Linked DNA regions of Arabidopsis thaliana. The protein of the gene in region 1 interacts with the protein of each later gene in a pairwise test. Each region holds a gene or a part of one and is shown on either strand. Other genes may lie near its edges.

Region 1 (6,311 bases):
TCAAAAAAGAAGGAATTAAAATTCATAAGAATGTTATAATTCCTGTAATAATATTTATTTTTTAAGCATCTTAATTATTTTTGTTACTTTGTTAGTGTATTGGAAGGGAAATGATGTATATATGGTTTGTTATTTTTATCAAGCAAAAATAAGAAACAACTTAAGGTTGAAGTATATGGTTGCTTTACCACCTACAATATAATGTCCCATGCCCTTTTCAAATTTAATCAGCTCACTCGGACTTCGATTGCTAAAATGTTGATGGCTATGTTTTCCATCGACATGCTGAAGTATCAAGCTAATGTTCAATCTCCCAATGCAAGTCTCCGTATATACAATTTGAAGACAATGCACTGTCATACTGCATTTAACTGAATCGTGTCTTGTAGCCTCTTTCATTAGTGACATTGTTCCAATTCATTAATCGAGCCAAGTTGGATCCATTATCTTGCGTTTAACGAGATTCTTGATCCGTATAATTAACTATATTCAGACATTTTTGTGTGTTCCAATATGCTTACTTCTACACTTTTCTCGATAACATCACTATTTTTTTAGTAATATTAGTCAGAAAATTAAAAGAAAAACAAAAAAAAACTATTGGTTACGTAATTTGATAAGTGGTAATTGGATTGTCGTATTTGCACAAGAAAAACGACATGAGGATTTTCCAACGAAAATGAAAAAATAACATAGTTGCACCAAAAGGTGAAGTAATTATAGCGAAGCGAGAATCTTATTACGCTGCGTTATTATTTGGTACACTTTACTTAGATGAAAGTCAAAATAAGTATCACTTCATTCATTATACAAGTCCTTCATCAAAATGACAATGATACTTTATCCAGATAAACTAATAAAAATAGCCGTGTTATATGCTAGTTTTTTATACAGTAAAACATATAAATTAATATTCACAAAATTAAGAAATATTATAAAACATTCCTGGAATAGGAATATTGTAAAATAAAAAAATTCAGATGTATAAAATAGTAATAATTTTTCAAAATATATTAATGTATTAGTTTTAGCTGTTTAATAAATAAATAAAAGTTGACGTTAGATTTCATCTCTATTTTTGTTGTGTTTTCAAAATATAGTATTAACTAGTATCGTCTATAACTTCGTCATCAAAATAGCCAAAACTTCTTTCAGTTTTTTATTTTAATCTAAGAATCTTTAATTTTAATTTCGAATATGTATCATTTCATTTCAATAGACTATATATATCTTTCTAATTCACCATCAAAAGATTTTTATTTTTAATTTAATATATATATATATATATATATATCTTTTGCATAAGTGAATTCTATAGAGTATAGACTTTCTAATTCACCATCAAAAGATTTTTATTTTAAATATCAAAATGTTCAAGTTGGAACTATAAAATTTATAATATCCAAACCAGTAAACTTTTTTAAGATCAATTTTCTCTACTCATATTTTTCAAATTAGTTTTAAGATAAAATATTAAATGATAATACAATTAAAAAATTTGAGATTTGAAATTTATAGAAAAAATAATATTACTATAAATTAACATATACATCATAGTTCTGTCATTAACTCATTATTAATTTAGAAAGTTTTTTATAAAATACGGATTCACCATGTGCGTTTGAACCAAAGTACAAATTTACCGAATATTAACTCTCACTATGGCCTATGGGCTTTATGATTCGCAAATACAAAAGATTTAAGCGATAAACATATATTCTCGTGGTTGTACAAATATGGCAATCTTCGTATCATAATTTGGATTCAAATTCAATAGTGGGCATGTAAGAAATGTAGAATGAAAGATGAGGGATGTGAAAAGTTCTACCATTTAGCTTTTTTTTTTTTTGGACATCTTTTAGCTTTAATAGTCAAAGATAAAGAACTAAATGTAATGACTTCTAAAATAGCTTAGTAAGCAATTGAAAGAGTCGTTATTCAAGTTTTGTATATAATATCATTCTTTAACTTCGTAAATTTTATGATTATAAATATTATAAAAAAATTACCCTCCACCATTAACAAATGTTAAACCCCAAAATCAAGACGTACTATCAATAGAACATGAGACATTTTTTAACAAACTTTATTTTATATTTTGTGTATGTGTATGTATAGATAATCATACAGATAAATGAAGAAGTGGGTCTAAAGACGAAGAAGACTCAGTGAAACTACTCCAAAGATCAACATTATCATCATTATTCCAATGAAGATCCCATCGCTGCATCATAGTATCACCATTTTCTTCTTCTTCATCAAAACTCTTACGATGACACGGATTATGATGACCATTGTTCAATTGCCAAGCTACGAGCCGGTCAAGACTAGCCCAGTTGCTGCAAACCGGTCTTTCGGTTATCTTCTCTTGAACGGGAGAGAAATCGAGTTTGCTTGGAGTCAGGAAACTTTGGTCGACCGGGCTCTCGGATTTAGGTGTCTCAAGACTTGGGAGTTGCATGAATAAGACATCATCTTGATGTTGAGTCGTTGTTTGGCTCTCGGGCATGCAAATGTTAGAACCGGTACGGTCCATGTAGAGAAGAACATGGTCTAAACCGGTAACGTTTTGAGTGTTGTGAAAGGTGGGCCCCTTCTCTTCCTCCGTGTCATCAGGTAAAGAAGATAGAGTGATTTTAGGACAATCGTCAATCTTTTGATAGTTCTTCTTCCTGAACACTCGACATACCACCCAACCTTCTTCGTTATAGCTCATTGGATCTTCTGTAACAACATCAGCATAGCCCTGATAATGGAACACAAATCGATCTTATGAAATGCAATAAGAGATGATTAAATCTTGATGATGTAAAAATGCAACTTTTATTTTGAAACAAAAAAAAAAATCTTTTATGTTGGTTTTTCTTTTGGATATGCAACCATAACTAGTTAACTACGTATTGTTTGTAGAGCCGTGTTAAACTATTTTAAGCCTTGTGAAAAAATCTTTTTATATAAATGTATATATGATGTGTTAATTTCATAAGAAATTATCTTATTGTAACTCAGAGAATCATGTTCGATTACTTTAATTGCAGATGCTAAAAGAAGGCTCTAGTGCGTACTAAATGAACCAAAACCTTTTATAGCATGAAACGAATCTAGCTAATTCTTTGACTATAAGTTTGTAATTTGTTTATTCTAACCTAAACTGCAAATTGATGATTGCTATATATACTTACATTAGACATTGGAGTATCGTCGAGGCGATACTCATGCATGATCCAGTCGGATTTCTGACCGTGAGGAGCTCTTCCTTTGTAGAACACGAGTGTCTTCCTCAGTCCAATTCTCCGGACACAACTGCAGATGATTTTGTCACGTCCGGTAGCTTTCCAGAATCCAGCGACTGTTGCCCGGTTCGTCCTGGTCCCGGTTGGATACTTCTTGTCCTTGTGGCTGAAGAAGTACCAGTCGTTTTGTGGCGTTGAACCGATTCTACATTCCTCTGCATTTGCATACCAAAATGGTTCAAAAATAAAGAACAAAGAAATAGAGAGTTCGTAGAAATGAAAGAGTTTTTTTTCATATTTAGGGTTTAACCTTGAATATCCCAAGGCTCAAGCTTGTTTAGATCAACTTCACGAATGACATCAAGATCGATCTTTTGAGAGTTAACTTTCTTACGGAGATAGTAATGGAGAAGTTCTTCTTCGGTGGGATGGAATCTGAAACCTGGAGGCACTTTTGATTGTCCATTAATCGAAAGATTGACCTTATTATCAGCCATTAACGAAGATAGCAATATATTTTTGGGTTTTTGCTCTAGAAGAGTAGAGAAGTTGTATGATTACGAGTGGAAATGGTTACAACTTAAAAAAAAGAAAGCAAACGATGAGATAATTTATAATGGTGGTAGGACTCGACGAGACATAGCCCCCAAAAGGGGGAAATTGTTATTTAAACAAAGAAGTTCATGCATTAAAGTGTCTTTATGAAATTAGTATAATTTAGTAAACAGATGTTTCTATGTTTAAATCGAGTTTGATCATACGTAAGTTCTGACGTAAGACATATTTCTTTTGACGTGTAATGTCATGTCATGTGTAATGTATAAAACGGAAAAATACTAACGTAAATAAACGGGTTTAGTGGGGGATTAATCTTTGTGTTTTCTTGCAATTACTTATTGCAGAATTTGAATTCCATGTGTTTTGGTCTTTACTAATGTATGTAAATATAAAGTATAGATTTGTTTAGAAGAAAATAAATGTAAATTATTTTCTAATATAGCTACGTATATTAAAATAATTTTCATTAATATATCACACACTCGTTTCATGATCTACGTCATCTACATTCTACCATGTTAATTAGTTATCTATTTTTTCCCATGTTTTTGGTATGTTCATTCCTTTCGATGTATCCTAAAAATACATCAATTTTTTTTTTCTTTTCATAATCTATCATTTTTATTCTAATATCTGGTGTCACCTAATCAAGATAATGTGTGTAACATTAACGAAAGAACTTTCCATGATTTTTTTTCTTCTTTTTGGACGATTTTCGATGTTTAATTGTACTATATTTTTTGGTGTATTTAAGTGACAAAAACGTGATGAAAGTCAAAGAAATTGAAACAAGCGGAGAAGAGCAGGGGACATGCTTTTTGCACAAGTGTGACACTTCATCTTCATTTCATCATTTAATTCACCTCTGCCTTTAGTGCATGTCCAATTAGTGCATGTATATTTCAATCTAGCTATTCATCTTAAATCGGAAATAGTTATTCAGACCATCTTACATAGTAAGTTTGAGTATTCGATGGTTATGCGAATACCAAAAAAAAACTAAAATGAAGGGTAAGGCTATATAGCCATTAATATTTAACCGTAGATATTGAAATAGCTAAAAAGAATAGAGAGTATGAATGTGGGAGTGACAGACTGACATGTTGGAATATCCACTTCCAGCTAAAAAGGTGATAGTTGGATTATGTACACAAATAACTGAATTAATTAGCAATATTTGTTTATGAAAATATATGTATATATTCAACCATTTAACATACATATATGTGTATATATTTTAGTTATGGACTTAATTATTGGAATTAAGCATACTGATATAATATGATTTACAAATAGAGGCTGGAGCAATGACACTTTAATCGTTTTCTTATTATATAATATAAGTATATAACATGTACATAAAAGTTGTTACCCTACATGCACTGTACTTATCATTTGTCTGTTGATGGGATCTTTGTGTTTCAACATTAATAATGATGTTTTGTTTCTCTAAATTCTATGCTTAATCATGCTTTTGGGTACACAATTGATGGATTAACTAATACCACATAATGATTAACCACATTTGACCTCTCATTCTTTCACTTTTTCCATTTCTTTATTCTAGTTTTAATTGAGTTGAGTGTGAAGTTTCACCTCGTAATTTGTTCCCATACTAATATTTTGATATATCATTTCGTCATTCCCTTTTGTTAAATCATGTGTGTCCCATGCTCACATGTATGTTATTAACTGAAAACTAATTTCGAACAAAAATATCACAAAAATTAATTCACATTTGTCATTAAATCGAAATAAGGAGAAATAAATTAAATATTCAAGAGAATGTTAAGGCTTTTACACTAAAGTTGATATATATTGAAACAAGAATATTTAATTTATCTAACATGTTAACTAAATCATTGAAGGTGCTCCAAAGTTGATGATCTTGCTGGAGCAAGTTAAGAGCTCACATCATTAGAAATCGTTATGTAGAAGACGGATGTGAGTCATGTGACAAAGGGATGAAACCGGTTTAGCTAATCTGAATCTTTGTTGGTTTTGATTCCTGCAGGTTTAGCTAGTTTGGCTCAAATGGTCGAATGGTTTGAGATATAAGAGAACTGTTGGGCTGGATCATCAAAGGAAAAGGTCGAACTTGTATGTTGTTGTGCTTAGCTTAAATTGTTATTTTGTTATACCTTATGAGGATTAGTTTGAGTTTCCGTTCAAGATTTTATCCCATTATCATATTTTGTTTCCTTTCAATTTTTAATCTCGCACCAAAATCCAATTAATACATTTGAATGTGATGAGTTGGTTATAGTTGCATATGGTGTGAGTGGTGATGCAGAAAGAGAGTGTAATATGTAATTCAATCAAATAACGTTTTGAATGATTAACGAATTAGTGCTAACTTAATAAGACATAGTCAATAGTTAATAATTAAGTGAAACTGCATTGGTTGGTGAAGCATAGCAAAAGTTTGGATGTCAAGCAATTCCGATAAAAGTATAGTCATACTGACGTAGTTACCCACTTTCTGCTTTTTACTTGGATTATAAAATATCCACGTAGTTA
Region 2 (5,428 bases), on another chromosome or scaffold:
GATCCACTCATTTTATTACCTTGTATCTTATTCTTTTTTTTCATAGATACTTTCTTAGTAGATCAGAGTTGTAACTAAAATTTTGAGAAATACTTAGACATTCACCATTACATAATAAAAATGTTTAGAATGTATCAAATATTTAGAATTTATTCAGTATTTAATTTTCTTATTAAGGAAAATAGATTATATAAAAAGTAATAAAAGTTGAAGTTAAAAGATGGGAAAGAAAGATTTTTTGGGTAAATTTTTTGACATTGCTGTGAACAATTGGGTCTTAGTCAATTTCTCAGGGCCCAATATGAAAGTATTCATCATTAATTCTGGCAGATGGGCCAAAATATTAAGAAGCCTAGCACAATAAGTCTTAAATCAGCATCATTGCTTCAAGTTGAAGCCTTCGACGTTACCGATGATGGTTTGAACGACCTCGGTTTGTCTTGTTATGAAAGGAATACAGAGCCGAGAGAAAGAGCATATCACTTTTGAGTGTTTGTAAAAATGAATTTGAGCATATCTTTGGTTATTTCTGGTTATTGAGTCTGTTGACTATAAACGATTGTAACAAACTCTTTGAATCATTAATGAGAAATTGAGCTTTTCACCATGTTTTCTCTCTCGATCATGGTTCCTAATATTTGGAGTAATATTTTTGTTTACCGAATACTTTAAATAAGATAAGAGTAGTTTTATCATGGTCAACTCATTTTTATCATCTCACCTACTTAATTTCAGCCAGCTTGAGATTGGAGACAAAAACAATCGTTTTCAAGTGTTTTTTTTCTTCTTGATTTATATCTCTTAATCAACGTTTTATATCTTTTCTTAAGGTCCTCATAAAAGTCTTTTTCTCATATCATCATATGTATTGGCTAACGGTTTACCCAATAAGACAAATACGCTGTTAAATATCTGGTTTTGTTTAACAAAAAAAAAATTGCTAATAAATAAACCATATGATTGAGAAAGATTGTCAGACTGACTATCAAAAACGCCTAATTGATTCGATCCCATTATCTTAAGTTCCAACTTGTCCTCAAACTCTTTTTTTTTTCTTTGACGTCTCAATATTTAAAATGATCTCTCAAAGTTCAATACAAGCCAAGAAACATATTTGCCAATATTCAAAACGACTTTAATTACTCTTTCTTGGTACGTATGTATAGATAAACTCGTTCACATTGCTTAAAGAAAAACTAATCCAACAAAATTGTGAAAAATTCATCCTTAACCTCCTTTCTCTTACAAATCTTCGGCTTCGAAGAGTGTATATACAGTGATCAGTTAGTGACCAAAAATAACAAATTTACAAGGAATTAAAAGAAGAATTAATAACGAGTTTAAGCCGGAGATTAGTCAAGATTTCGATTTCTTCGGTTATAAAATAAACAAATCACTAGGACATTCTTGTGGCGGCCACGGAGGAGGCTAAAGGGACAACCTCGGCGAGGGGAGTAGACAGAGGAGTTGGAAGCGGCGAAGTCCGACACACAGGACACGTAGGATTGAGTCTAAGCCACGTGTCGATACATTTAAGGTGGAAGAGATGGTTGCAATCTGGTAGCTGCCGCAGCAGATGTTTTCCCTTGTAGTCTCCTAAACAAATGGCACAACACGACGCCGTTGTTGGTCCCTTTGCTTCCGAGTAGAGAATCTTTGGATAGCTTTGAATGGTGTCCTCGTCAAGACCGGGGACAACGTCGATGATGACATGGTGGTGATGGTGATGGATACGTGTTGAATCTTGGTTGGTTTGTGAAGGTGAAGAAGAGAGCTGGTTACGTGTGCAATAGTATGAGGTGAGGGTGATGGTGGTGATGAGGAGGAGGACCCCGATGGAGACACCGATTCCGTATCGAAATCCTCCTATGTCGTCCGTGCCGAGGAGGCCGTTGTAGTCCGGCATCTCGGACGGTGGCGGTGGTTGGAAATTGTTCATGGCGGGTTTGGTTTGATGGTTTTGTTTAATGGGTTTGGGAGGAGGAAGAGGAGAAATAATGGAGAGGTTTTTGGTCAGCGATTTGATATAAGACAATGTAAATTGAAGCATCTTGGGGTTATCAAAAGTCAACGCTAAGAGAGAGAGAGAGACAAAGGGAGGAAATGCATGTGAATGAGGATAAGAAAGCTTGTCAAAGCAAAGCAAGAATTGTGTGACTTGTGGATGGTTAAAAAAATATTCAATGTATAAATTTTCTAATATTGTATTGGTAATACTGTAATAGTATAACGCATATATAAATATATTGACCCATTAATTCGTTGTTTATTTCAAACATAAAACACTTAGTTGCACAATTGAATTGGATACAGGGCTAATGAATTTAACGTGTGACATGTATTAAGATTTGATTTAGGAATGTAGGGAGGGGCCAGTGGCTAAGATTAGAGAAGGTTTACGCTGAATTAGTTTGAAGTCAACGTTGTACTTATATACTAATCTTGTTGTTTATGTACGTTTAGTTATCTCCTTTATTCAGGCTTATTTAAGTCCAATCATGTCACCTAAGCAACGTTTAGTTTCCTTCACTTGCTTTTAAAGTCGCAGTGTTATCTTATTTTAGTATTAGAATATTTAAAACTTTGAAATCTCTCCATATTAGAAGATTAATATAAAGTTTTGTTTTTCTCCTAAAAGTGGCAAGACAATAAAATAAAATATAATTGTAGGTAAATAATTTGTATATACTAGGAAATCCAAATTTAACCAATTGAGTCGTGGGCATTAACATTTGTATTACATAAAATTATATTTTGGCAAACTACCATAGGATAAAAATCATTCACTTAACGGCCAAGTTACTAACACAAGGCATCTTTGATAATGGAAAACAATCTGTTGGACAGTTGTTATTAATGAAGAAAATGCGTCATTGCATGCTCGCATGATGTATATTTTAATATACACTAGCTATGATAGTATATAAACAGATATACATGTAATTAAGAATGGAGATAAATGAACGTATATTATCCAGGGGCGGATTCATTTGGTGAAGAATGAATGTATTCAGTGAATTTTAATTGATATTCGAATACACCATTGTTATTGAACACTTAATTATTGCCGCCGCTCTTCCAATTTTTCAATTCTTTTTTTCCCCAATCAGTAGAGTAACTATGGGCTTTTAAAACCCATAGCTCCGGATTCCCAATCATATATTCTATAGTCTATGTCATCTAAAACAATATGAATTTAGATAAACAATTTATGACCTTCAAGCCATATATTTGGGCCGGATACTCAAAACATATGAAATTACACTCAAACACTAATTGAGCTACTTAGGCCAAATATATAAAGGAAACACTTACTACTAGGCATAAAAAGTTTGGAAGAAATAATAAGAGAGAAAAAAATGTTATAATCCTGACATTGTTTTTTTATTGTTAACTCACTCTTGGAATAAGTTGTCCAAGTCTCATAGTTGACTCAGTTTGGTGGTGTCACAAATTAGTTCCATCATTACTAATTTGCTATCAGTTTGGTGATGTATCAAATACTGTTGATCTAGTAATTTCACAAAAAGCGCATATCTTCCGGCTAATGATATTAGATTTACTCATATGTGTAATGTGTATGTATGGTTGAAAGTTGAAGCTAAATTAGGTTTAAGTCACTCATATCATATGTGTGTGTTATCTTGTATAGTGTAATACAAAATTCAATACAAAATTTTCCAATAAGCAAAAATAGTCGTCAGTGCGAGTTCAACTTTAAACTGTTTCAAACTTTATATTCATTACGAATGCAACAGTCCCTCTCTTGTTTCTCCACGCTTCGCTTTCTCCTTCCATTTTCTTCCAAACTCTCTCCGCTTCGTCCTCTCTTTCACACCGCCGCTATGCCTCCTCACGGTCCTAATTCTCAAGGTGGTCGTCGAGGCGGAGGTCATTCCTCCGGTCGTCGTGGTGGACGCGGCGGCGGCGGTCGTGGCGGTGGTGGTGGCGGCCGGGGGGAACAGCGATGGTGGGATCCTGTGTGGAGAGCTGAGCGTTTGCGCCAGCAACAAGCTGAGGTAATTGATACATTGTTCTTGTAGATTCTGAGTTCATTACTTCAATTTAACGATTAGACATTGATACATAATTTCGAATCAGATGATGAAGTAGTCATAATTTATCTCAGATGGAAGTACTTGATGAGAATGAATGGTGGAACAAGATTGAGCAATGGAAAACAGGAGGAGAACAAGAGATGCTAATTAAGCGTAATTTTAGCCGTGGAGATCAGCAAACACTTTCTGATATGGCTTTGCAGATGGGTCTTTACTTGTAAGTCTCTATATCTTCTTCGACAACTTCGTTTTAAGTCCATATGGTGAGAGTATGTCATGAATTTGCTTATCGTTTTTTGGAATGGAAGTCATGCGTACAATAAAGGGAAGGCTCTTGTTGTTAGCAAAGTTCCTTTACCAGATTATCGAGCGGATCTTGATGAACGGCATGGATCCACTCAGAAAGAGGTAATAGAGATGTTGCTAGTACGAAAGTTTTGTACTCAGTGGTGGCTGCTGAAACGCTTATACTCTTTTTCTTGTAGATTAAAATGTCCACAGAGACTGAGAGAAAACTTGGAAGTCTTTTGAAAACAACACAAGAATCAGGGTCCTCTGGTGCCTCTGCTTCAGCTTTTAACGATCAACAGGATCGTACTTCAACTCTTGGCTTGAAAAGACCTGATTCTGCTTCCAAATTGCCGGATTCTCTTGAGAAAGAAAAATTCAGTTTTGCACTCAAGGAAAGGCAGGAAAAGCTTAAGGTACATGTATTGCTAAAGTAAACCGTATGCATTATGGTAGATGTAGATTCTGGACATAACATCAATTTATAACCGTTTCAACACAGGCAACTGAGAGTGTAAAAGCACTTAAAGCGTTCAGAGAAAAGCTACCTGCTTTTAAAATGAAAGAGGAGTTTCTTAACTCTGTTTCACAAAACCAGGTAATTGTTTGGTATGTTTTTCTTCTCTGTATTCCATCAGCTATTATTTCTGCCTCTCTCCAATAATATTGTCAAGCTATTTTTTTTAGTTGTCTTGTGTTGTGTTGATCTTGCGCTTATAGTTGTGTCCGTTGTTTATTTTTCAGGTATTGGTAGTTTCAGGAGAGACCGGGTGTGGTAAAACAACACAGCTTCCTCAATTTATATTGGAAGAAGAAATATCATCCCTAAGAGGTGCTGATTGCAACATAATTTGCACTCAACCTCGACGTATATCGGCCATATCTGTTGCTTCTCGTATATCTGCTGAAAGAGGTGAATCCATTGGTGAATCTGTGGGTTATCAGATTCGTCTAGAATCAAAGCGTTCTGATCAAACACGATTGCTATTTTGCACTACTGGTGTTTTACTCCGGCGGCTGGTAAGATACAACTATTCTACTACTCAACTACTCATCACATGTAGTTGAAGTATGATATTTTA
Region 3 (5,648 bases), on another chromosome or scaffold:
TTGGTCTCTCTCACTCTATATGAATATTTGACAGTTTAAAAGAGTGGCAACATTAACATCTCCTGAACGTGTGAACACACTCTTCTCAAGATGAAACCGCAGATTTTCTGATTCTCCTGATATGACCAAGTCAGCACAACTCTCTGGCTTCAGCAGTTTGTATCAGGTGATCATCAATCCTAGTTTCAGACATCAGTTTTGGTCTCTACAGTTATGGAATAGTTTTCCTTGTAAGTTGTCTGTCTATCTTTTACCTGTAACTGTTGTTAGTGTCAGGTGCTTCCAAAGAAGTGCCATCTCATGGAAAATTGTATCAACCAAAACACAATTTTGACTCATTGAGATTTGTCCTTCACAGTAAAAAAATGTTATAGATTTTTGTAGACTCATTAATAAAAGCAAGTGTTCATGCGCCATTGTATATTTATTTAGTTTTGGTTACCAAGTGATGTTCCAGTGGTAATTACATTCCATTGGGCCCAAATAAACTTCACAATAAACAAATATGAAAAACCTTTTGTTTCTTGTTCAAGAAACTCGACCTAAGCAATACCAGATTCTCTAAAACAATACAAACTGGGTTTTCTCTCTTATGCCAACCTTTTCCTGTCTTGAGTGAAAAGCCTAGTTGATACCCATTTAAACAAAGATCTATAAAGACAAAATTTGTTGAAAACTTGGCTTTCCATTAACAAGTAATTATTTCTTTCACAATATCATACTAAAGATGAATTATACGTATATTTGTCGTAAATAAACGGAGCGATATATCATAGAGAAATATCCTAAAATAGCACTCAAACAAGTTTAATGGACAATTAAAATAACATTGTCCACAAATTTGTAAAATTAGCTTTAGTGAATTTACTCAGTAACTATTTTATAATTATATAAATTAACAAAATTAATTACAATTTGAAATCACGATTAATTTACAAACAATCGTGTGAAACGTCAATCGAATGTTAATAACTTTATATTAGTTTTTTACTATGAATTTGTGTTTTTTTAGAGTTTTAGAGATTGTGTGTTAAATTTAGTAACAAACTTACTTTCATGCTATTTATGAGAATTGCATATTTCTAGACCAATTTTTTATTATTATAATTCATATAATTATTCTTGAATTATTTATGTGCTATTTGTGAGAATTACCAATTTCTAGACCAATATTTTATTATTATTCATATAATTAAACGTTTATTGAATTATTTTAGCTCTAAAAAATATAATGAAATTTAGAATTGTTATAGAAACTTTAAATGACTCAAAACTGATCTTTGTTTTTTTGTCAACCACACATTAATTAAAAACTGATCTTTGTTAAACATCTAAATATTGAAAAACAAAAGGATTACCACCGCACCTATCCTGCATCGTCTTGTACCATTTGCATTCATCAGAGCCATTATATATTCATGTGGCTGTCACATCCTTATATACATTTCAACTTATAAATTTAATTTTGTACGTTTAGCAGATGTTGGTGAATTCATTTATTCAAGCTTAAGGTTTAACTCGTTCTTGTCTCCTTTAGGTTCATAACATTTAATGGACAACAACTACTCCAAATATCCGTGGACTTTACCACGCGACGCACCGACAATTCTCTAGCCTTTTCATTAATTGATCAGTAAAAACACTTCTATAATTTTAATTATTCTCAGAAATTTTAACCGGTAGTAACATAAACGTAGATGATCGAAAAAGATGAAATCGAGGTCTCTGTTTTGTGTCGAATTAATAGATCTATAAGAAATCAAACAATGAAAATTAAATAGATGAATGAAATATGTTTTGACGACGTTTTCACGTCACTGTTTAAGTTATCTGTTAGTAAAATTTGATAGCATTTAATTTGAATTGCTATGTAACTCGGAATAAATTCGACGGCAAGAGGTGTGGGATGTGATCAGTCTTCTAATTAAGTGTAATCTTTACAAAAAATCAGTATGAGTTAATACAGGTTTATAAATAGAAAGACATCTACAGTAAAACCTCTATAAATTAATAATGTTGGGACTGCAAAATTTTATTAATTTAGAAAGATTTTAATTTATCGATAAATTAATATTTATTAATTTATAGAGAGATTTTCGTAATTTAGTAACTTTTCAAAAATTTCTATAAAATTTTTTTCATTATAGAAAATATCTTTCAAAAATCAATTACAAGTAAATAATAATATCATGTTTAGAAAACAACACCAAAAGTTTTTGATAAAGTAAAATACTATAACTAAATTTAAATAAGAATAAATACAAATTTTAAGCAAAAAAATATTAGAATTATATTTCAAAATAATTTCTTACATATAATGTATATATAGTTGATATATTTATAAAATTATTAATTTATGATATTGATGGGACCATATATTTACATAAGATTTTTTAAAAAGTTATTATCTTATTAATTTATCGATTTGTGTCACTTTTTACACTGATCCCAACTCGGGACTGGAAGAATTTATTAATTTATAGAGGTTATTAATTTATCGAGTATTAATTTATAGAGGTTTAACTGTATATGAATAATTGAATACACATGGGACATCATTATAGTTACCTTAGTACGATTTTATGCATTTGGTTACCAAAATCCACTAGGCTTCGTAATTGGTTGTGGGTCAGTGTCCATTCGATAGTTTGCATTAGCGATAAACACTTAAAACAGTAAAACGTGATCTATTTTTAAACAATAACATTTCTTCTTATCAAATATTCACATAATTAATGAAGAAAAGAGACGAATTGATAGGCAATAAGAAATATGATCACTTGGTACCATTGTATGCATGGTATGAACTGACATCAAGTATTTGTACGTTGTAGGGTAATTATTAACATTGTAGAATGACAAGTATGATCAAATGGAAAAGGATTAGTTATATGTAGCAAAACTAGTATTTGTACTTGGACTATCTTGTCATGTAGTTTTCCTAACGCTATATATAATCCAATAACCCCATGACACGGAAGAGATAGGGGACATACAATAAATATCAGTAGAGAGGACGTGGGAAAAGCAGAGAGTTAAGTGAGTAGTTGGAGATAGAAAGATCAGAGACGAGGAATCTCTCTCCCACTCTCACTTTCTCTCCTATTCTTAGTTCGTGTCAGAAACACACAGAGAAATTAAGAACCCTAATTTAAAACAGAAGAATGGTACATTCGAAGAAGTTCCGAGGTGTCCGCCAGCGTCAGTGGGGTTCTTGGGTTTCTGAGATTCGTCATCCTCTCTTGTCAGTTCTCTCTCCCTCTCTATCTATTAATAGAGACAACAGTATAAATCTGTTTATGCAAGTCCATGCTATGAGTTAAGTTTACATTTTTGGTGTACGTGTAGGGCAGTTTTCTGATCATTGATTATATTTTCGAAGATTCATGCAAAGCTCTTATAATATCATGCATTTTTGTTTAAGTCGTTTTCCTTATTTTTTTCCAATTAAAAAACCCACGTTTATTAACATATACATATGTTGAGTATTTGTACTTTTTGTGTTGTATTTTGAAATTTTGAGTGTACATAAATTTAAATGCTTTGTCATATAATTGATACTGATGTATTTTCTATGTCTTAGTTGGATTATAGAAAATCATATAGCAAAGAATTGGGAAGGAACGAACACTACTCACTATAAACTTTCCTCAAAAAGAAAACGACCCAATTTATTATCAGTAACAATTTATAACAAATTTGTTGTGTGTTTGTTTTAGTACTTTGAAGTTTGAATAAAATGTGTGTTTTTTGCTTACGTAACTTATGTGAGCTATCAGGAAGAGAAGAGTGTGGCTAGGAACATTCGACACGGCGGAAACAGCGGCTAGAGCCTACGACCAAGCCGCGGTTCTAATGAACGGCCAGAGCGCGAAGACTAACTTCCCCGTCATCAAATCGAACGGTTCAAATTCCTTGGAGATTAACTCTGCGTTAAGGTCTCCCAAATCATTATCGGAACTATTGAACGCTAAGCTAAGGAAGAACTGTAAAGACCAGACACCGTATCTGACGTGTCTCCGCCTCGACAACGACAGCTCACACATCGGCGTCTGGCAGAAACGCGCCGGGTCAAAAACGAGTCCAAACTGGGTCAAGCTTGTTGAACTAGGTGACAAAGTTAACGCACGTCCCGGTGGTGATATTGAGACTAATAAGATGAAGGTACGAAACGAAGACGTTCAGGAAGATGATCAAATGGCGATGCAGATGATCGAGGAGTTGCTTAACTGGACCTGTCCTGGATCTGGATCCATTGCACAGGTCTAAAGGAGAATCATTGAATTATATGATCAAGATAATAATATAGTTGAGGGTTAATAATAATCGAGGGTAAGTAATTTACGTGTAGCTAATAATTAATATAATTTTCGAACATATATATGAATATATGATAGCTCTAGAAATGAGTACGTATATATACGTAAACATTTTTCCTCAAATATAGTATATGTGTTGTGATTCTAAGACTTGTAAACTGATATGGCCTACTGTTTAAAGAGTAGTTGATATTTTCTATTGAATTTGTGGACATGATATAATTACAGGAGATTAGTATAGTAGTCATTATGATACTTATGAAGGTACAAGTGGTAGGATGATAATTAATTAGTTTAATAAAGAATAATGAACATTAAATGTGAAAGAGATTTGCCACTTTTGTTAAACACATCTGCGAATCAGATTCTTGTGATTCGAATGTTAGTCCTACCTAGATTAAGAAAGGTTTTACTATTTTAACATGTTTACCTGGTTTGGGTAAAGTTCATGTCCTGTCCTATTCCGTCTTGTCCCGATCATGATAAACTTTATGAGCAATTCTTATAGAATTTTATTTTAAAATACTGATTTTTGATATTCAATTTTATTTGATTATTTTTTACTTAGGCATGTGATAAAGGCGATTTTGACTTAGTTTCACATACAAGTTTAAGTAAATTATCTTACATAACAAAAGAGATTCAAGTAAATAAATCTAAGCGGGCTAAAATTAATCAACTAGCTCAAGTTGAAACATTTTATCAAGTGAACCTCTTCCAAGTCTAGATAGCATCTCAAGTTTATATATGATATCATATCATGGACACACTTTGGATTTTGGATATTTTGTGTCGATGTTTAAACATCTTGTTTAGATATAAGGAGAGCATCTATTTTGACATAAATATTTAATAGGTTAAGTTGACGAATTTTGATATTTTGGATATTTTGATGCGGTAGGGTTATTTTATTATTTTTATTCTATTTTGACTGAGACGATTATATATAGATTACCGGCAATATTTTTGTTTTTTGGATACTTAAAATATAAATACTGTTATATATGTCTTCTAGATATTTTATATGAGAGGTCTAATAAGTTTTAAAAATACATAAATATGTAACTAATTAAATATTCATGTTATATCGAATAAAAATATTAGTATTCAACCGCACTATATCATTTATGTAAACATTGTTTCTCAAAAATGATTTAAAATCTTAAAACGGACACAAACACCAGGTATAAAGTTTTAACTAGTTATATTGGCTGGTTTAGAGTTAAATTACATTTTGTTAGTTCAGAATTTGACTGGTTTGGTCGTTTTAAAATTTAATTAATTTCGCTATTATTCTTTTTATTTTATTTTATTTATAACCGAAAACAA

Evidence for each region. The genes of interacting proteins can lie anywhere in the genome.
Region 2: the proteins of NAC012 (region 1) and AT2G35910 interact in a two-hybrid assay, tested with the Arabidopsis thaliana proteins (one large-scale study listed by BioGRID).
Region 3: the proteins of NAC012 (region 1) and SHN3 interact in a two-hybrid assay, tested with the Arabidopsis thaliana proteins (one large-scale study listed by BioGRID).

Annotation. Positions count from the first base shown.
Region 1 is NC_003070.9:11,863,221-11,869,531, forward strand, and holds NAC012 (NAC domain containing protein 12), read right to left. Parts: upstream 3,935-6,311; 5' UTR 3,731-3,934; coding exon 3,544-3,730; intron 3,449-3,543; coding exon 3,183-3,448; intron 2,747-3,182; coding exon 2,123-2,746; 3' UTR 2,009-2,122; downstream 1-2,008. UniProt on the Arabidopsis thaliana protein: Transcriptional activator of genes involved in biosynthesis of secondary walls. Together with NST1, required for the secondary cell wall thickening and lignification of sclerenchymatous fibers and secondary xylem vessels (tracheary elements).
Region 2 is NC_003071.7:15,071,829-15,077,256, forward strand, and holds AT2G35910 (RING/U-box superfamily protein), read right to left. Parts: upstream 2,313-5,428; 5' UTR 2,051-2,312; coding exon 1,397-2,050; 3' UTR 1,059-1,396; downstream 1-1,058. Other genes in the region: AT2G35920 (RNA helicase family protein), read left to right, coding at 3,750-4,019, 4,130-4,275, 4,367-4,466, 4,544-4,762, 4,849-4,944, 5,091-5,366.
Region 3 is NC_003076.8:8,817,473-8,823,120, forward strand, and holds SHN3 (Integrase-type DNA-binding superfamily protein), read left to right. Parts: upstream 1-2,985; 5' UTR 2,986-3,164; coding exon 3,165-3,244; intron 3,245-3,779; coding exon 3,780-4,269; 3' UTR 4,270-4,590; downstream 4,591-5,648. Other genes in the region: CYCA2;1 (cyclin a2;1), read left to right, coding at 35-94.